Linked DNA regions of Schizosaccharomyces pombe. Changing the gene in region 2 together with the main gene of any one other region gives a genetic interaction. Each region holds a gene or a part of one and is shown on either strand. Other genes may lie near its edges.

Region 1 (5,010 bases), 1.5 Mb from region 2:
TTTTAAATACATGATTCGATGTTTCATCTGCTAACTTTAATATACGCAATTAAGTAGATATTTTTGAATAATGACTCTAAGAACGTCTCAGCATTATACAAGCATATCCTTAAAGATTTTATCAGATACTTCCTTTTATATTAAAAAATGAAAGGTTGTGATTCAAACACGTTGCTTATCATTTAAGATCGTTAGGGAGGGCTATAAACAAAAAATTGGAAACTGAGGATACTTTACAACAGCGCTTTGATCCTTCCCAAAGAAAGATTCATAATTTATTTCCTTTAAATAAGTACTTTTTTTAAAAAGCTTAAACTATTTACGACTAAGTCACTAAAATTCGTAACCAGAAAATCATTAAAAAGCTTTATATAGTGAGGGGTAACGATAAGTAAATCCACCATGCTAATCTAAAAAAATGTACTCGCTAGAGATGCAGAGATAGTTTATATTGAGAATATTCAAAAAAATATTATTTTACTGTTTACCATAGCTTTCGAACATATCACAAAAGAGGGAAAAACCAGAGCCTTTTTATTCAGTGTTAACTGTATTTTGAACTAGCAAGGTTTGACGTTACTCTATTGCTCTTCTCCCTTTAATCTTATTTTGTTTGAGCTTGTCTAAAAAAAAAGGTTTCTCCTCTAATACATTAGAAAAATTTAAACGCTATCATGACAACTTGTTCAATATGCAACGAATCAGAAATAAAATATAAATGCCCGAAGTGTTCATTTCCTTAGTATGTGCTTGTAAGCTCAGAACAATGCATTTTGTTTCAATACACATTAACCCATGAACCAATGCTTTATTCTTTTTTTCTGTTTCCTAAAAATACTAATATAGAATTAATAGTTGTTCATTACCTTGCTGGAAAATCCACCAAAGTCAATGTGAGACTGTAAATGACAATAACACAACAACATTCAAAGGAGTTAAAGAACCTTTAAACCCCCCAGAACCTTCTCCTAATGTTATCTACGTTAATGGAAGAATCCCAAGTTTAGCAGAAGAGGCATTGCCAAGTGAAAGTCTTTTGGAATCTATTGTCGAAGATCCTAGCATAAAAAATTTAATTGAAAGTAATGCCGAGCTTTTACATATAATGAAAGAATTAGTGAACCTTGACCGTGAGGAAGAGGGTTCTGTTCCTCTGAAAACCTTAGATGCTATTCAGCAACAGCGGCTACACAATCCATCTTTCGAAAAACTGGCATCCATGATTCTGGAAAAATATTATGCTCAAAAATAATGGGTTTTATCATTGTAACGAACATTTAGAAGATTCAATTCAAATCGCATATCGGTTATTGGAAGTTGAAATATCAAAGGCGATATTTGAACCAAGGCGAATTGTTTACGAAAGCAACACATCCATTTAAAATTTTTAAAAGTAACAGCGTTTACACGATGTTAATACATAGCAAATACTACTTTTTGGTTTAACTATGAACATTAATATTTATTCAATACAATTTCCTCTCCTGAACCCGTTTATTTTAGTTCGATGTTAAGTATATTGTTCTATACCCTCATAATCTCGTAAACCCCATCAATCTGGTAAGCAAAACAGATCCTTCCGTAGCTATAGCAAGATGTGATCCATCTTGGTGCCAGCAAAAGTCAACGATGGGCATACCTAATTGAATAGGAATTGAATTCGAGTCCTTTTCATATGTATTAATGAGCTGTATTAAGCCGTGCTGAGAATGTGCCGTAGCAAAGTAATCCATGTAACGGGGATGTGGGCAAGCACCAAGCAAGGATGGGAACAATGAAATGCCTTGCACGTTGGGCAGTAGATTTTTGGGTCCCAATTTCATAGTGGAATCCGAGATTTCATTGTAATCGTTATTAGCAAAAAGATTCCAACGAAGCCAAGCCCCACTTTTACACATTGCAAGTATACCGCTTCCATCACTTCCGATCCATCGAACGTTAGCTAAAGAGGAAGCAATGCCGCTACTATGACAGGTGTTAACGAGTGGCAGGGTATTCAAAGTCAAAAGCCATGGATTTTTAACCAACTCGGTTTGAGAATTTTCTTCAGCTGATAAATTCAAAGTCCAGTCAAAAATCCTAATATTACCATTCCTTTCTCCAACAATCAATTGATTAGGATTAGATGGGCGAAATTGGACACTAATACCAGGGGAAGACAATGGGTATCCAGCTAAAATAGGCCCTTCATCAGTCAGTCTCCATATAATCAACGTACAATCGTCGCCCACAGATGCTATCACCTGCTCAGCGAGACGATTATCAGCGGAATAGACGTCTGCAATATCGATATCATTCACAAAATTATGATGCCCAGATTTTCCGCCCAACACATGTTGAGTAATAATGGTTTCATTCTTTGTAATTATTAGACGAACTGTATTATCCTGACACACACATGCAAGAAACAAAGAATACACAGGTGAGGAATTCACATTTCCATCGCCATCATGCAAATTCTCAGAATAACTACAGCTAGATGAAAAAGAAAGATGCAAAGTGGGTAACCCAGTTTGAATAGTGAACAACTCTTGTAATGTCAAACCTGTAGATCCGGGCGTCTGTTCTTCTGAAGCACAATAAATAGTGATACCCGTATCATGGCCTGTATAAGGTTAATCATTAGTTTAAAACGTTTAGAGGAATGCTATTTGAAGATAATTGTTTCATTAGCACTGAGGTTTTCTCAAATATTGTAACTTAGGAAAACAGAAAAGAAGAAATGAGTAATACGTAAATTACCATTCGTCGTAACATTCAGATATCTTACATACCTATGGCAAGAAGATTTGAACAGGAAGGAGACTGGGAACACCAAGTCGTTGTATACGGGCGGACATTAAGAGGCAATCTAATAAACAGAAGTTAGAAAGAGACATAAACGAAATAACGCTGAACGTACTGATACTGGTTAGAGGAAAGAGTCATGACGAAAAATAGTTTTCAAAAAAAACGGAAAGAATGAACGCTTTATTGTGCAGACAATAAAAAGATAAAGAAATTAAAAATGCATTTATATATACAAATGGAAAAAGAGAAGTTTCGGCCACGTTTTCTAGTGATATGGTGTTGCAGGTAACTAGTGGGTTACGTGAATTGGATGAAGCTGAAGAAAACGTTCTACCTTACGGAGCCAAAACTACCACCATTAATTTACAAAAAATCAAACGAAAACCTATACAAAGCAGTTTAGATAATGAAACACGATAAATATAACCATTTTAATGCAATTACTAAAATTTGTACTTATACTAAATATCTTTTAATAATTTAACTTATATTCAATTAACAAATAGAGTGTTTACTAAATACATCAAAATAAAACTATATGTAAAAAAACCAACACGATATTCCACTGATTTATTGCAGAACGAAAAGTAATAATTGCGTTCCGTATGAAGTATACAGCGGTTTTATTCTTTCCAACACGTTCCCCAAGCCAATTACATAAACCGTGACACAGGCTTGTGAATAGTGTGGATAAAAACGAATGTAAAGCATTGTAAACGACAAATGGGGTTTTTTATAGCATAATGATCATTTTAGCAGTCACATCTTCTCGTATAAACCAGATTTTGTGGAGGGAGTAAATGCAGTAAATATTGAAAATTTGAAAAAACCTTCGGAAATCTTAGCTTGGGCATTTCATTCTGAGCCGAAATCTTGGCAACTTCAAAAACCCAAGGGCTATGGCTATTCTTGCTTCAAGACTAGTAAAATATAATACAATCGAGTACTATCATGTTGGTGAATGATATTATGTTATTGACTGTAGAGCGTATATAACATGAGAATGTCACTGTACAATAACGGAATTTATTTACTTTAAAAATGTTGGCAAGTTGCAATACAAATTTGAAATTATTGCTTTGAACAGCCTTTGGGATTTATCGCTATGCTTACAACGAGCGGCATTGAATTTACTGGAGTAGAATGGCATGAATGTGTTTGACCAAAATGAGTATTATTACCATTATCCATTACAATGCCTTTATACAACTATCCGGCCTATAGAATAACAAAATTTAAATTTGACCATAGTAGCTGTTGACAGCATGTGGGCCATAAAGTTTTTACATACAGTCAAGTCCATACTAAGGCTAGCATCGGCAATGCAAAATATGCAGTATCACTGCCACGAATACCAGACTATACAACCGGAATATAATTAACACATCTCGCGATAATCTCATTCTTATTTAAATCATGAAATTTTTTTTTTTTGCTATCATCAAAAATTGAATTTATTTTGTAAATAAAAGCCAGGAACCGTTGAACTATGATTTTTAGTTTATTAACAATCTTCTAGCTTCGTTTTGTAAATCATGCATTGTTCGTTCATATAAATCCAAAAAGAAAGCGATGTTTTCAAACGTGAAGCATCTTTAAAATCATAAAGAGCATCAAGGAGCTTGTATACAAGCTTCCACTCAATACATTAACTCGATTCATTTACAAGGAATCCTCTTTATTCCTTTTTAACACCACCATCACGATTCATCCCCTCACGACGAGTTTCTTCGAGTACGTTTTCCGACCGTTGGCTAAATTCCTCTTTTATTTTCTTACCAGCATCTTTCGCCTTTTGCTGATAGTCGGTATCTTTTGCATCCTTGGCAGTTTGCTTTACCGATTGCTTTGCATTCTCAGCCATTTCCTGTGGTGACTTATCTTTGTTTTCATCTATCTTTTTCGAAGCCTTACCAGTTGCTTTTTTGACAGTTTGACTGATTTTCTCAGGTGCTTCTTCCAGTGTTTCTTTTATATATTGACGAATTGTTGTATTAGCAGGATTGGTTGCCTTCCAAGCGAAAGCAATTCTTGCAGCACGAAACGCCATGTTAACAATATGAAGATAAAAAAAATAAAGCAAAAAATATAAAATTTGTGTAAGTTTTAGTTACCAACGCTAGTGGGTATGAACTAAAACGTTATACTTTATCTGTTTATGGTGCCTTAGCAATTTTCCAATTCTGTTTTCTTTTTCAAGACGAAAAAAATTAAACAACA
Region 2 (6,175 bases):
TGGTATTTCAAATAGCCAGCATTGCCAATACTGGTCAATAGTAAGTGATATGGCAAAAAATCTAGAGCATTCACTTCGATATGCCGCTTCAAACAGTGAATTTCTGTTCCCATATTATCGTAAACGTAAACATACTTCTTTTGTGCAACAGCAAAATATTGATGGTTATGAAACCATTTAACATCTCGAACGGTCTCTCTTAAATGTAGCTCTGTGAGTAATTTACCAGTACGCCAGTCAAACGCGGAAATATGACCTTTTCTTCCACCTAATAAAATCATTCTTCCATCTCTTGTATAATCAAATGAGTAACCACCAAACTTATCCAAATCCAAGGAGAAAGACTTTGTAGCCGTCTCAAGTGCAACATTAGGAGCCAGTTGATCTTGACGAAACTTGTATGTCCTTTCAAGGCCCTCGGCTTCCAAAAGACCGGGATTATCTTCATGTAAGATTTCGGTTTTCGCCAAGGAAGACTCAACATTCTCAATTCTCTCCTCGATTTTCTGAATATTGCTTCGAAGCTTTTTATCCTTGATTTTCTTTGGATTCAGCTTGCGCCCTCTAGAATATTTTTTTGTAGAAGCATTAACATCCTCCAAATTCAACTTTTGAGCAGACATAATGCTAACTAAGTAAAGATATTAGTGAGGAAAAAAGATTTTTTTTTCTTTTTAGGCCTGATTATACAAAAAAAATGAAGCAGTTTTCTAATAAACAATTCTTTCCAAAATTTAGGTATCTCCCTTAGTCAAAAAGTTAGAAACCCTTCAATTTTTACACAAATGTATTATGTAAACGAAGTGATAGTTAAAAAATTCAAACACTACGTTCGACTTCGATTCTATGACCCAACAGTAGGTTTAGGTTGAGGGCAGGTGGAATGTAGTTCTAGGAATAGGATTTGTGCGTTCTTATTGTAAAAAATCAGAAACTACTACTAACACAATTAGATACAAACCACAATTATTTACAAATAATACAAGTATAATAAAATAAAATTTCATAAAAATTAAGTATGCAAAATAAAAACAAGAAAATTTTAAAAGTAAACCCGAAACCCAGTAAAAACATTATAAGTTCAGACAATGGCCAATGCCAAAACTGCGAAATGAACCATGAAACGAAAATAGCTCAGGAATTAATTCTCCTGCTTTTTGGTCATGGAAAGAAGCTGGATCGAATTGGATATATCGCTCATCTTCGAACCGCTATTATGAGCACTTCTTAGTACGCTCTGCGTAGTGTTGTAATCATCAATACTCTGTAAAAGGACGTTTTGTTGGTATTTGTTGTTTTTAGAGGAGTTTTTGTTTTGTTTTGAGGATTTCTTAACTCCTTTTGAAGTCTGTTTAGGCTTTTTTGACTGCTTGTTCCTTTTCTGTGCCATTTGGTTGAAGTTAAAAGTTTTATCACGGAGGCGATAATTCATTTTTTCAACAAAATTTTCCTTCTCAAAAGTAAAGATATATTTATTATAAACAAATACACATGCAACATAATACATTTCTCCCTAACGATGCTGTAGAAGAGCAAAAGCAAAATCCATACTATGGAATACTGAGAGCAGTGGAAACCGACTTAAGGCTCGGTCAACGTTGGTGTGAATTAAAGGTACATGTTCTTGATATTGACTTAAAAACAAAAAGGCCTTTACTCTCAGGGATTCCCGTAAATGGACAGCTCAAAGACAAATTGCAATATGTTCTGCCGCTTTACCTCCAAGAGACAATTTCGATCGAGTTTCTGTCCTCTGTTTTCGATTCTATGAAGAAACTGAGCCTTCCACTTGTAAAGGATGCTCGAGGTCTTTCTGGAGATGAGTTTTTCCTATACCTGGGAATCATGTGTTCTGACTCAACGATAGTATATTACAAGATCACCGATGGACTTATAAAACCAAGGCAAAATGATGAAGAATAAACACATGATATATACATATTTATTGATTAGGATTGAAAAACGGAAAGACAACGCTATAATTTTACCACTACCAGATTAATTTTTCACTTCAAGTGTCTCAACGTTTGTAAATGAAAATGCACATATTACAATAACTTTCATAAAACAAATTCGTATGAACAAAAATTTTCTGTAAAGCTCATTCATCAATTAATATCACAAACATGCACATCTTCCTGTGTATGGAATAGTTTCTGGGCAATAATGAACATCATCGTTTAAGAAAAATCCCACTGATTCCATATGATTAGCACGCGCTCTTAAAACACCAAATGCTGCTGAAAGGATATCAGACTCGGCTAAATAAATGTCAGCAAAAAGTACAACGTGAAGCATTTATATTAGAAACAGGTTAAATAAAGTCATTTCCAAAATTGAAGAAGCAATTTACTTACTCCAGCGATGATAATATGTTCCTCCTGAACCAAGCAAGTAATTAATTAGGTTGGTGTAGGTCTGATTATGCCGAATTTGCTTTAGAGATAAAATTTCATTAAAAGGCCAGTATTTACAATAGGTGTAGTTGTTACTATAAACCCAGATATTGCTGAAATCTCCTTGAGTGTTTAAAATTTTGTATTCTTCAATTGCCTCTTCCATAGCATATATACCAGAGTGTTTACGTTCACAGACGTGGTTTGTAAATACAATGTCGCTGTCTTTGAAAGTAGAAAATATATCTCTGAACAAAAATATTAGTTAGGTTTCCTGAAAAAGAAGAACGAAATAAACAAGTTTTACCGAGTTTCTTACTTTTTTTCTTCACAAACCAATTTGAGCCCGGGTTCTATTCTCCAAACATAATCGTATTCCAATTGAGGATGATATAATAAAGATCGAACTACCCAATCTTGAAAACTGTGAAACAAAGGAGAGTATACGTAAGATAGATTCTCTTGAGCAAGTGCATCTGCTCGTTGTTGATAAAGTCGATTGTTTTCAACTAGGGGTTTTACTTGAGAAAGATCCCAATGCACTAAGTAAGAGATAGTTAGAATAAATTGTAAATGATTGGTATAAGTTATTCCCTTCGTACCGTATTCACAATGACCAGACGCAATCGTGCTTGTCGTACTCATAAAGTATTCCGTAAACTCATCCATGCCGTAAAACGTCCAAGGATAATGAAACCTCTTATTAAATCTATCCTCTACGCTACGCATCGTGCGCAACACTTCCCCAAGTTCAGCATTACTAGAAAACAGAATTAGAAAGTACATCTCAAATGGCACCGTACGCGGTAAACATCAGAAAAGAAGCACTCAAATTGGAGCTTTGAGGTTCATTAAGAATCACATATACATTGTTGGGTTCATTTACAGAGAATCCATTCAACCAGGTAAATACAATTGGTAGTATGGAAAGTAAAAGTTCGTAAAACATAATGAAGCTTAAACACGAGCAGAACTTTCCCTGTTATGAGAAGTAACTAGTTCAACTAACGTATGACTCCAAAAGTAACGCATAGAAAGTGGATTTGAAGGAATTTAACTGAAATTGCCTAAGACAATGGTTAAGGGCAAATGTTAATACCCTGCTAGAGATTTGACCTTAGAAAAGAGAGCTCTTTGAGTATAAATATTTATTTTTAGCAAATCAATTTTTGTATACAATGTTTGATGGGTAGATCACTGAAAGAATCTGCTAACGAGCATAATCTTATAAATGACATTTGCATAAGCGTACTGATAGTCGCTATGTCGAGCTGTTATTACTGTTGGAATATTTAAGTTCTATCAAAGGAATTATAAAATTTGCATTCGTCTTTTATAATGGTTTTTAATGTCTATTAAACAATTCATTGTTGCTGATGAATGTAAACAAAAGCAATAAGTTTAAGTATAGGAAAGCTTCAGCTGTTCTAGAATACAAACTCAGTAAAATGTTATAAAATAATATTTCATAAACCCAAGTGGCATATGTATCTTAAGACATTTTCCCAATATCTGCAAACTAATTCACTACTTTCGATCAAATTATATACTGTGGTTGTTCATAATGCACAATCTTATTTTAACGAGCCTTTTTTTTTGCTTTCTGGAAACACCAAAATTCCTAGACTACTAAGGGTAAAACAGTCACTAGGGTTAGGGTTGTAATTTTCAACAAACTATATAAAGTCTCGTTTGCACTTCGTTATAACCTATCATGAATCTGAAGTTACATTGTTCAGATTCTTTCGAGAATCTTGCGTGTAACATGGTTGGCGTGTAGAGGTTGACAAGAGTACAGACAGGGCGGCGATTGTCCTTGCAGTTTCGACTGCAGGTTGAGAGTTGGCGTCTTGCCATGAAAATTGACTAAAGGATGCTGCGTAGCCTAGCCAACAGATTCTAAAACGATTGGAGTGATCCTGATCCTTCTCCTTTGGAGAGGAATTGGTTGATCCTCTGACAACTGTATATTCCTAAATCTTTCGCTACATGATCTCTGGATCCTTGCAGTTGGGTAAAACCATACAGTTGACATTTTTCATTTGGGTAGTTCTTCTTTTATGATAGTTTAATCATGTGTATGAATACGATTAATTATTTTATTACAATTTTACTTTGTCATTTAAAACTGAATTTTTTAAACTTCCAATTCGCTGTTAATGAACAAATAAAAATGGGCGTTGTGATGTTTTGATGAGAAACAGGCTGACCTGTCGATGTAGTTTTCGTTTGTACAGCTTGACCGTTTGAGGTAGGTTGCCAGTATGGTATTTTGTATACTTAAACTGAATTTTTAATGATAATATTCTCGTCATATTTTGAGGTACTTTGTTTTCGTGTATAAGTCCTTGTCAAATTAAATGGACTACAAAGTTTTTAACAATCAGTTTTGTGGGCTGTTTGTAGCAACATCACAAGTGTATTAGCAATAAATGATTTAGAAATGCTACCCTAAGAGAGTATATAAAAAAAACCTTTCGCTCCTTTTCATCGTTTACTAGGTCGTTGAATTGTCAACATTTCAGTCTGATTTGGCAATTACAAGCGAATGATAAAAACCAAAAACTGGTTGCTTGTTCAGCAGTTGTCGACGCCGACGGGAAAGCCTGCTAGCTGAAATAATTGTCAGGATGCTCAATATTAGTAAAGCAATGAGCAAATTAAAAACTATAAGTTTGTATCTATTCCTGTAATTGGGGCTACCGTTTGGACATAGGCCCGGTGCACGCAGTTTTTGAAGACGAGATGAGTTAGGGTGCTCTAATATAATCCTTAATGTGGAAAATAGAGAATCTTCTTCTAACGTAAGTGAGTTGCCGTTTCTGTCACTCACATAGATTACGCCTTTCGAGTGATCTATCACAAACACTGGTGGTGTGATAGAATCTACATAAACAGTATGGTCCAAATTTTCCACAATCCAATCCAACCATAAAGAAGAATCTAACCATAAAAATGAAACTGACTCAGTATAAGTAGGATGTGATATCTTCGAGTACTTAATTCGCTTCACTTTCCTCGCGAACCCTTTCTTTTTAGCTTCAGCTATCGCACTATATTTCTTAATTCTACTCCAAACTATATCATTTCTTTGTCGTTGCATTTGAAATCGAAACCATCTCTTTCCAAGCCGCAACAATTCTTCTTGACTTGAAAAAAACTGTTCAGAATCTGGCTGAAGTAAGGTCAAAACAGTAAGCTTTCGATTCAGCAGACTGTGGCATTTTGTCGGGGTTAGCTCTGTAATAAAAGGGGAGGAAACTATGTTAATCCACTCAGTAATTCGTTTATAATCTCGAAACTCACGGGGTGTAATTGCCTGATAAACTATTGGCATTCCATTGCGAACAGCAATAATGCTAGGCTGAGACTGTGCCCCATATTTATTCGCGAGCGCCTTCGAATTACAAATGTATAATGGAGCAACACCAGCAAGCTGTAATTTCAGACGTTCAATGATACTGAAATCTTCTGAAGTAGTTGCAAAATCGTAAAGCACCAGAAAGAAAACTGGGTGAGAGTTTTCGATTGATTCAATGTCCCCTTCTTCGATCTTTATTGCTTGGTAACTTGCCACTTGGTTTGAATAGGATAGCAGCTGTTGATACTTGAGAGGTCCATTATATTGTATGGAATCGAACCCCTGAAACACCCTGAAGGTAGGAAACTTTTTAATATGGAAATGATTACACATCTCCTTTTCTTCGTCGCAATTAACTTGCGCCATTTTTAATCGCTCGTCGGTATTACGAGTAATGCTTGACCAAACAGCTTCCCAA
Region 3 (5,066 bases), on a different chromosome or scaffold from region 2:
GGACGTGGTGCATCACCCAACCGTGAGGGACCTGCTAATGTATTTATTGACTTTACTAAATGGAATCATGGTGATGGCTCTTCAATCTTAGCAAGCGCACCTTTTTGGATTAATATTATTTGTCAACTTGCTATTTGCGTAGGTTATTTGGCCTTCTTCCGTCGTGAAAACCTTAGTCGTCCTTAGTTTTCTAGTCTTAGTCTTACAAAGCGAAATTTTAATTGAAGTTCACGAAATCGGAGCATGTACAGTTACTGTGATGTTTTAAACAAAATATCCTCCAAGCTCGGTCTTGTTGAGCATCAGGTCTTTTAAATGAATACTTCAAGTTATGTTTCATTATATTCTATATCCACCTTATTTAACTTCCTCATATCCTTGTTACTATTCTTATCTAGTTTCCGTTGGCATTTGGCTTTGCTGACGAGAATGTGTTATATCTAAGCTTTATTTAAGGGAATATCACTTGGTCATACATAAATTGCATTATAAATTTCAATTAGCATAGTATCTACATTTTATGATAAGTGTTACATGTTTCCATTAAAACAAAATTAAATCTATCCGCCCTTTGTATGCTTACCGATTTCTTTCATACAATTAGATTTTTTGTAATACTAGTATATTAGAGGAGCTAGTTTTCATTGCTGTCTGTGGATGATCCCTCAACATATACGGCTTTATATACCTCTTATAGAATACGAATGACAAATAGAATATTTCAGTTTATCATGTAACAATGCTATTAAAAACATAAGTTGCCGTTATTTAAAAGAGCATGGCGAGACAAGATAGTACCACCACCGATTTACTTTCACCAACTATTGTAAACTAAGAAGTCAAATTTTGGTGGAATACAATTAGCAAATGTCACGGGAAATGGATCTATTGTTTAAGAACGAAATGACTATTTCGCATCAGAAAATAGTAATGATGCTATTCATAAAACCGTATGCAGATGTGAATATAAAAAAGTAGTCTATGGCTGTTAAATTCTTAAGATGCGAAAGGTAATAATTCTTTTCTAATTACTCATTCCTCTCTAATGTATACACCAACAACAACAAAAGAATTGTTTTATAGCTGTAGACAATGCGACGAACAATTTGTTAAATATGGAAAACCAGGACAGCTTCATCAGAAATTAGGTTAAAGATCTGTAAAAAGCTTATTTATGCTTATTGCACCAAAAAATATATAAATGAAAACATAAACAGCGGCTGTTAAAAGCCTATTAATTAAATACCAAGTTTCAAATGAAGACACATTGCTCAGCTATCTTCGTCTTCTCTATAATTATAGATGTGCTTTTCGCGATGCCCAGACCTCGCAACATTTCCAAAATTTTTAGGGTTTGTCCTTCCAGGAAAATCTTCAGTGCTTTTAAATATACTAGATTCTCCAATCTTCTTTCGTTTGCCAACGCGTCCAGTTTTTACACCTCGAGCAGCAAACTGTTTCCAAGAATTTTGTGATGCTTCAAGTGCTGCTTTAGGTTTTAGTTGTTTTTGCTGCTTTTGGGAGTATGAAACACTAGGAACAGGTGGAGGGTTAGAGGGAGGAATGGGAGAGATCTTTGGTAGGGTTGAAACATGCTGAGCGACATTTTGGATCGGAGATACGTTAGCCGTTACAGCCGCCGAACTCTTCATATCTGGAGAAGAGGCACGAGACGCATAATTGGAAGGACTTGTAGACATAGATGCTACAGATATTGCTTTTGTAGGCTCTCTAACAGGTGTACTACGTATAGTGGTAGATTTTTTGAGAATTTCTTTATTTCCTTCTATTTCCTGACGTTTTTCCTCAGGCATGGCCTTAATATGTTTGAGGGAAACAGTTTCAATGTCAGGATAGTCAAGAAATTGTACTGTGTACTTTTTGTTTGCACCGAAGCCTGAAACAGCAGTAATACGTGAAGGATAAAATAAATAATCTCCTGAAACCCATCGGGCCATTACTAAATTTCCAGGCGTAAAGTCGATATGTACTGGCTTTGAAGTATTGAAACCTGCAACACCATTTTGGGAATTTTGAAACGTATTTTTATCATTTTCTACACTTTCTTGTAGTAAGTTTTCAGTAAGGCTAATTAATTCCTTTAAATCATTTTCCAGTAACTGTAATTCCTCGTTTTGGGGAGTCTTCTGAAGAGAAATTTGAACGAGAGCAAGCTGGCTCTTGTATTCCTCTAATTCCTTCTCCATACGATTACTTTTATAGATTTAATAGATTTTTTTTTCAAACAGTAAAAATTTCCAAGTGTAATGGCTTTATCGCCAAAACCGGTTGTAAGTGTAGATAATATGTGAAGCAGGCGCTCAGTGAAGTGCCTGAAAATTAAGCTCAGCTATTACACTAGGGTGAAGAAAACAATATTGGAGTGAGATTAAATTTATACTAAAAGCACTAATTCTTTAACTCAATATACTAAGACATTATTGATAATAGTTAAAACAAAGAAGAATATTTGATATTTCTATATTCAGTATAATCAAGACGTAAAAGAAAGTATTCTATCAAAAATTTCATGCTCTCGAAAACTATGGATGGGTAAAAAGAACTGGATAATCAAGTATTTTCGAGGTTCGTTTATGGCGTGCATGATATCGATTAAAGGCATTGAACGTTTAATGCCGCATAATGGAGGATAAATTATTAATCCAGAAGACAATATGTTTCCGAACTCCAAGCATTCCTTCTTTATATGAATTTATTATTTTCTAGGTCAGCTAGAAGCAATGGCATTAGGAGGTACTATAATTTAACGATTTCACTCGTATATCTTTAAAATTTTGGAGTAAATGAAATTCTTACAAAACAGTTTTACTAGGACCATAAGATCGATCCATAAAGACCTTCGAGACTTCCCAGGCAAGCCAATCGCTGGTAGTCGTTGGCAATAATCCCATTCTTTGCAGCTTATAGACTCCAATCCCCATAAGCAATAATTGGAATAAAATATAAGCACCCATAGCGGGCCAAAGGGTTCCTGGGTGGGTGCCTTTAAATGGGGTGAAGGCAGATCCTGTAGATGTTATTGCTTTCAGTGGATTTACAAGCAACATAAGAGTCGTCATAATACTGAAAATTTGTAGTGAATTACCAGACATGTATGCTAAAATAGCGTTCATAGGAATTTGTTTAAGGGGGGAATATGCAAGCTCCCATGCTTTCTTTAGTAAGAGATCCTTTTGTAATTCTTCCTCTCGTTTAGCAAATATGGAAGTTGAGGAAGCTGAATTTCCTGAATGAATGTTTTTGGAAACCAACGACTTCTGTTGAAATCCTCGAGGCGTAGGGAACTTGTCAGAATTGTCAACGATCTTTTTGGGCTTCTTTGCTAACGCTGGTTTGACCAAATCGATCCAATCTGTTTCTTCGTTAATGTGCATCTTGAAAGGGAAAAAAGAGAAATTTAAAGTTGCGACTAAATTTTTGGACTCGTAAACCAAGGAATAAATTTAGTCAATGAATGAAAAGCCTGATTGCAGCTAACCTACAGTCAAAAAGTATTGGTAGCACCTCAATTATGTTTCTAAAATACGAAGACCAGCCTTATTTGATGTTTCTGAAACAAGATATTTCACCAGAAGTCAATCTCAGTTTTTCGTTATTTGATGTAAGTTGGGTGGTAGAACAATCTTTTCAAGCAAATTAATAACTTTGGTTGAAGTTAAAAATTTTCTGGTCTAAATAATTTGAGAACACGCCTCAAAATATAATATTTCAAAATAAACAATATAGTGGAGGTGGCAGATGCTAAGGAACGAAACTGGTGGTAATAGTGAAAAGCCCATCAGCTAATGAATCCCAAAAATACAAGCGCAAACAATGGCAAAAAGAAAGCCATCCTGTTATAAAAGTTCAAGATTAACTTGCTTTTGTGCTTTCTTTGGTTTTCTACTGTCTCATGGCCCGGATATGAATATGTACAACGCTTAAACATCTAATGTTAATGATTTCTTGTTAATTATCAAACCCAACGATCATTATTGATTACAGCTGGAATTAGTTTTGGTTTCTTTTATGGATATAGGATCTTGATCTTGAAAAAGTTCTGACTCTTTATCTTACAATGGTAATACCATGCTCAATGATTGATATTTTTACACTGAGATGTTTTCAAATATTCAATGGATAAAGAACATATCGTTTTGTAACTTTTTAAGCATAATCTCGTTAGCCAAGCTATTACATAAACAAAGATCGGATACAGTATGAAAGTACTCATGGTGTAAATATTTAGGAAGACGTGTTTTGGAGGGCACTCTTTGTGAGAATTTTTTTCTTATTCTAGAATATGAGTTTTAACATATTGCCGCAAGCCCAAAATTGAGTTGTACGACTCAATATACTCTGCCTAAAAAGTAAGTGCATTTTCGAAGCATAAAGAAAAAAAATGAACATTACTGGAAATTTATTTTGAAATAATCGCTTTTTAATCGTGTAATGTATTGTTATTGATTACCTTACCGATACTGATAATGCTTGCTTTTCTCCTGTTTCGAGTTTCCGTTCAAAAGACTTCTTGTTTATGATATATGACTGCGCATAAGAAGTGATAATTGTCCTTGTATATTAATATTGCCTGAAATAACTTGTAAGACCGAGCGTCTAATTTTTAAAAATATATAATATCAAGAGGAAAAACTTGCCGTTCTGCTATGATAGAGCAAAGTCGAAAACAACGTGAACCTTCAACGAAATTCTTTACAATTTATAAACCATTTCAAGTCCTCCATTCTTTAAAACGGAATGATTCTCCTTGCACTCGAATCTCACATAAATATATTCAACGAAATATAAAAGACACTTTGTTTATTTTCAAATAGCTTGTTTGCTAGAATTGCTGCTACGACTAATTCAAAGGCAGCCTTTGGAAATTGAACAACATTAAATACGACTCTAGTTTCCATTGTTTCATTACTGCTCTTTTATACCGTTCACAGTTTTCTAAGACCCCTCAAATAAAAGCAATTCGCGCTTTTGTAACTAACTTCATTCTGGCCTAATTCATACGAAACACTAATGAATGGGATAAGGACCGTTGGGCAGTTTTCTGA
Region 4 (4,838 bases), on a different chromosome or scaffold from region 2:
CTGAAGGTGATATTGTCCAAAATGAAGAGGAAAAAGAAAGCGTTGAGGTTGAAGAAGGAAAACATAAAAATGACTTGCCAAAGGTATCACCTAAACCCCCAACTGAGGGTGTGGACAGTGAAGTAAACGGTGAATCTTTGGTTCAGGTTAATAAGGTTCTCAAATCAGAAGATGATAATACATCTGAAGCTTCAAAGGACCCATCTTCACATGTGAAATCTCCCGAAAATATTGAAAAACTAAAACAAAATGATGATCACTTTGAGGTCACAGAAGAAATTACTTCCACCATAAATTCTAAAATATCTGAAAAGCAAGAGAATAATGTTGCTGAAACTATATTGGAAGTAACATCTAGTCCAAAATCTTCTGAAAATAGTCAAAAGCAGTCAGAGATTACTAAAAAGCGAGGACGGGATGAGGAAGATGAACCTTCTGACCTTCATTCAAGCCCTAAAAGGCCAAAAACTGGAGAGGATGGAGAAATTGTATTATAATCATTAAATCAATTACACATATGTGATAAGTGCTTAGTTATGATTGAGTCAGAAAATGTATATATAGTTAATGTTTTGATCTAGCGTGTTTTTGTATGCGCTTATATAAAATAAAATTACATCCTTTTAGTAGAGCTACTGTAAAGATGAATTTCATTGTTTATTGATGGGTAAATTACGCTTATTTACTAAACTGCACACATTTTTTGACAGTTGAATACGTTCACATGTTCAATATGAAAACATTCTAAAGTCAAATTTTTTATTTTTCAACAAATGCAACAATAAAAGCGGGTTATAAGTACAGAACTTTTCCAATATCGATGGATCAGATTTGAAACAGACTTATACAATTTGACAACAACGTTGAATTGTAAAATATGTTTTTGCGTATTTAAACTCCATCCTATCAATTCAATACTAAGTCATAACTTGCTTTACCATACCACATAACACAGAAAAATTGATGCACTATGACAACTGAGACTTCGTAAAATAAATAGCTGAAAACTCTGCAATTGCAGAAAATATTCAAAAAAATTATATCAAATGAGTTAATGATTTGAAACACTGTCTTCGTATTTGAAGAATCCAATTAATTAGTTCCGCATGCATTATATCTTTTTCAATAAAAAGAATTCATCCTAATAACAGCGTACTAAAACTGCCGTAAACAGAATAATTATTTTTTTCACAAAATCACATGATATAGAAACTCATTAAGATAAATTTTTATTTTTTTTGTCTGAGATACTTGGCAAAGGACCATGTCTCTTTTCCCAACATTTCCTGAATTCTTCCATCTAAAAATATCAGAATTAGCTAAATTTTTTAAAGACATATAATTACCTGTTCTGTACATTTCCTCCAATCATGAGTATCCCAATAGCAATCATTCAGTCGAAGGTGCTCTTCTACACATCCACCTTTTTCAAGAGCAGTGTCCCATACATCTTTTTCCTCTTCTTCTCCGTCAGGAGTTTTTTCAATACTATCCATTCAGAAAAAATAAATTGATGCTTTATAATGTAAAAAATATGCAAAACCCAAAGTGTTTTGCTGAGTAAGGTAAAGCAGCAGATATTTGATTATTTAAGGAGAATGACCGAGAGACGACAGAAAAGGTGCAAAGACAAATAAACAAGAAAATACAGAATAAAGCTTGTCAGTATTAGAGAAAATAAGTTAATAGCTACTACAAAGGTTTTAAATGACCAACTGACTTCACCGCGGAATTTGAGATCGGTAACGGGGTTGATTGGGGTCAATGGGTATAGCAACTGCAGGGCTTTTAGTATTTTCATGATCTTCATTTTCAATGTTTTTAATCGTAGATTTTTGGGAGGTTTTATTTCCATGGGATGAACCTCGCATCACAAGGTCTGCCAACTTTGCGTTTCGTACTTCACCCTCAGGTCCTCCAAGAGAACGAGGTTTTCCCCATTGAACTTTCAGTCGAAACCCCTCTATAACAACATTTCCATCGGGAGATGCCGCCGCCGCAATCTCAGCACTAGAACGAGTTTTAAAGTTTACGAATGCGCATTTTGCTCGATGAGAACACACAACTGATTTAAGAGGCCCATATTGTTCAAAATGTTTACGAATTTTATAGTCAGCTAGTTCATCTTCGACGCCAATAAGGAAAAGGGATGCCTAAATGTTAGCACAATACAATGCGCCATCAAGCTTAAATTACTTTTAAGTCGCACTTACGATTTTTTTATCTTTAGGAGGTTCCATATTAATAGACAAGGAAACATTCCCATTAATAATTTTTTTAACCGGAAATAATGGGCGTTCTGCATTTAAAGATGCATCAGATGCTCGAGCCTCCTTTAATATTTGCTTAGACTCAACATCATCTAATTTTCGCTTAGGAGGTCTTGAATGTAATTCTCGTTTTTCTACCTTTTTAACAAGATTTCTTGCAGCGGCGCTTGCTTCCTGGCTATCGTAGGCCGTTTCGCCATTACTTAACAGGCGTTGTTGATTTTGAGCAAAGAATTCGCGATTAATATCGTTAGTGGGACCGCTTTCGACCAGTTTTAGGGCTGCATCCCTCAGGGCAATCTTCATGGAACGTTAGCTGACTATTATAGTTGAATGAAATATTGAACTTACCGGTAAACCAAATTGCAAATCAAGCATGCAACTCTGACAGCAGTTCTTATATCTGGCGCAACCAACACAAATTTGAGTTTTTCCAGGCTTTTGGCCGCGTTCTTTTATCCACCGAAAGATTGTACAAGGTTTTGAGCAAATTTTACATTCTTGTCCAAGTGGCTCCTTAGTCATACGAACATATGAATTGTCGCCCAAACAACGTTCACAGATGCTTGGAAATTCAACATCCTCCCATTCTTGTTTATTTATATCACCTTTTGGTCCATGAGACATATTAGAAACGCAATTCTCTTGCAATGCTAATCTTTGTAAATATGTGGTGGTGTTAAACTTTGCAAGGTGGAATACGAAGACTTTTAAGACAAATAAAATTCGTGAAAAACACATAAAATTTCATATGAATATCATTTAAATCTACAAATATATATAACTATTAAATTCACATATACAGTGAAGGGCAGAAGACTATGTTTCTGCGAATTAGATTTTGACACTCTTCCATCTTCGTATACATGGAAGAATCGCCGACGACACGGGCTGCTCCTCTGCATTCACGTAGAACTTCATCAAGTCTTATAATTGTTCTTACAATCGATCCTTCTAAAACGTCTGTTAAGTCTGTGATACGGTTGAAAGACATCCCTCTAGCCCACTCGTAGCAAACCTCCATTAAACCAAATCGTGGTTGTGATTCAAAATCATTACCTTCATTAAAATACAATACCTGATAGTGCTCTTGAATTTGATTAACTTTCTCGGCCACTGATAGTATCATTTCCTTTCCTTTTTGTAAATGAGGAGAAATTGTGGGTTCAACCTCCGTTTTCTCATCGAAAACAAATGCAGACAACAATGCTATTGTCTCTTCACAAGAAAAGTCCGCCAAACTGTTTTCCAAAATCAACTCTGTTAATACCAATTCACTGGTGGAATTAATTTCACATGCGACTCTTCCCTTTAGTAAAACAGTTCGCTCTGCGTCAATATATCCTAGTTCTTGCAATACTTTTATCCGTTGTTCGTAATCAGGCAGTAACTCTAGGTTTTGATCGGAAATATAGGAAGATAAGTTATCGATATTGCTTTCCAATTCATACTCTTGGTAAGCTAAGGCGAAATGAGTAAGAAAGTTTGGAGTCGAGATAATTGGATTTCCGGATAACTTGTTCTGAAGAAAATTTCGTTTTTCGAAAGCTTCACAAAATTCAAAGTCTCTGACTTTACTCCAATTAACTTCTTCAAAAAGCAGGTCGGAAAACTTTTTAATTGATGCAAATTGTTCACTAAGTTTTCGAAAAGCCCCCCCTCGACGGTCTCTAATTCCACCAGAATCAATTCGAAGGATCGTATTGCAGACTCTTTCAATACCGGAAAGATTGATAAGGCCATACTTGAATTGGTTTGATTCATCAAAGATAGCGTTATCATAAACATCATTGAACGCGTCAGCAAAAGCAAGTAAATCCGATGGTCGTTTGAGGTTGTTCTGTGGATTTAAATATGCAACTTCCAGTGTACAGTCTGAAGCATTGGTTCTAATGGATGTTCCGAGTAGAACTCCAACAGTGCGAGTAAAATCAAGTTGTTGAAAAACAATGACTCTTCCATCTTTAAATATTCTTTTGCCATTTGCAGTAGTTATTGCTCGGAAGTGCATTTTTTTGGTATACTCTTTAAAAGATTCACTGCTCAATAAACAACTTTTAATTTCTTTCAAATCAACATCAGACATTTCCTTCTTTAAAGCCGACAACTTTTCTTCAAAGCTTTTTATTTTTTCCTCGTGCTGAGGCACCAATGTTTGGTTAACGTTTTCACTAAAGCTGCGTTTAATCATGTCTTCAATTCTAAGCGTCTCTACACGTAGGAGGTTAAGTATCATATTATATGTTAAGCGAAATTGACTTATAAGCTTAGACGAAGGCCCCATAATCATGTGTCTCAACGAAGCTGTGTCAGGAAGTTCTGAACGCGATAATATAATAACTGTACCAGTGACATCAAGACCACGGCGTCCAGCGCGTCCAGAGCATTGTGTATACTCTCCGGGAAGAAGATCACGGAAGTTCCGTCCATCATGCTTTTGTGTACCGGAAAAAACCACCGATTTTGCAGGCATATTTACACCCATTGCAAAGGTCTCAGTAGCAAACAGAACCTTCACCAACCCTCTTTGAAAAAGGATTTCTACTATTTCCTTGATGATGGGTAACA

The links.
Region 1: mutations in omh6 (region 2) and nup37 together harm fitness less than expected from each alone (positive genetic interaction), as found in Schizosaccharomyces pombe (one large-scale study listed by BioGRID).
Region 3: mutations in omh6 (region 2) and spf30 together harm fitness less than expected from each alone (positive genetic interaction), as found in Schizosaccharomyces pombe (one large-scale study listed by BioGRID).
Region 4: mutations in omh6 (region 2) and cwf5 together harm fitness less than expected from each alone (positive genetic interaction), as found in Schizosaccharomyces pombe (one large-scale study listed by BioGRID).

Annotation. Positions count from the first base shown.
Region 1 is NC_003424.3:4,868,418-4,873,427, reverse strand, and holds nup37 (nucleoporin), read right to left. Parts: upstream 3,085-5,010; 5' UTR 2,929-3,084; coding exon 2,903-2,928; exon of another isoform or gene 2,852-2,902; coding exon 2,775-2,851; exon of another isoform or gene 2,702-2,774; intron 2,606-2,701; coding exon 1,533-2,605; 3' UTR 1,402-1,532; downstream 1-1,401. Other genes in the region: hit1 (HIT zinc finger domain-containing protein), read left to right, coding at 675-742, 856-1,252; SPOM_SPAC4F10.17 (uncharacterized protein), read right to left, coding at 4,469-4,840.
Region 2 is NC_003424.3:3,390,768-3,396,942, forward strand, and holds omh6 (alpha-1,2-mannosyltransferase Omh6), read right to left. Parts: upstream 3,478-6,175; 5' UTR 3,183-3,477; coding exon 2,716-3,182; exon of another isoform or gene 2,645-2,715; coding exon 2,358-2,644; intron 2,340-2,357; exon of another isoform or gene 2,262-2,339; coding exon 2,119-2,261; 3' UTR 1,924-2,118; coding exon of another isoform or gene 1,142-1,923; 3' UTR 983-1,141; downstream 1-982. Other genes in the region: U3 snoRNP-associated protein Utp7, read right to left, coding at 1-623; SPOM_SPAC959.11 (uncharacterized protein), read right to left, coding at 1,142-1,507; tRNA-splicing endonuclease subunit Sen15, read left to right, coding at 1,492-1,923; pdi4 (protein disulfide isomerase), read right to left, coding at 4,918-6,175. UniProt on the Schizosaccharomyces pombe protein: Probable mannosyltransferase involved in O-glycosylation of cell wall and secreted proteins.
Region 3 is NC_003421.2:1,381,219-1,386,284, forward strand, and holds spf30 (splicing factor Spf30), read right to left. Parts: upstream 2,327-5,066; 5' UTR 2,208-2,326; coding exon 1,272-2,207; 3' UTR 837-1,271; downstream 1-836. Other genes in the region: cell wall alpha-1,3-glucan synthase Ags1, read left to right, coding at 1-186; chaperone EMC4, read right to left, coding at 2,814-3,395. UniProt on the Schizosaccharomyces pombe protein: Involved in spliceosome assembly.
Region 4 is NC_003421.2:1,184,672-1,189,509, forward strand, and holds cwf5 (Prp19 complex subunit, RNA-binding Cwf5), read right to left. Parts: upstream 2,952-4,838; 5' UTR 2,898-2,951; coding exon 2,622-2,897; intron 2,571-2,621; coding exon 2,214-2,570; intron 2,154-2,213; coding exon 1,722-2,153; downstream 1-1,721. Other genes in the region: THO complex subunit Tho1, read left to right, coding at 1-497; coa4 (respiratory chain complex assembly protein), read right to left, coding at 1,217-1,300, 1,347-1,496; Ski complex RNA helicase Ski2, read right to left, coding at 3,064-4,838.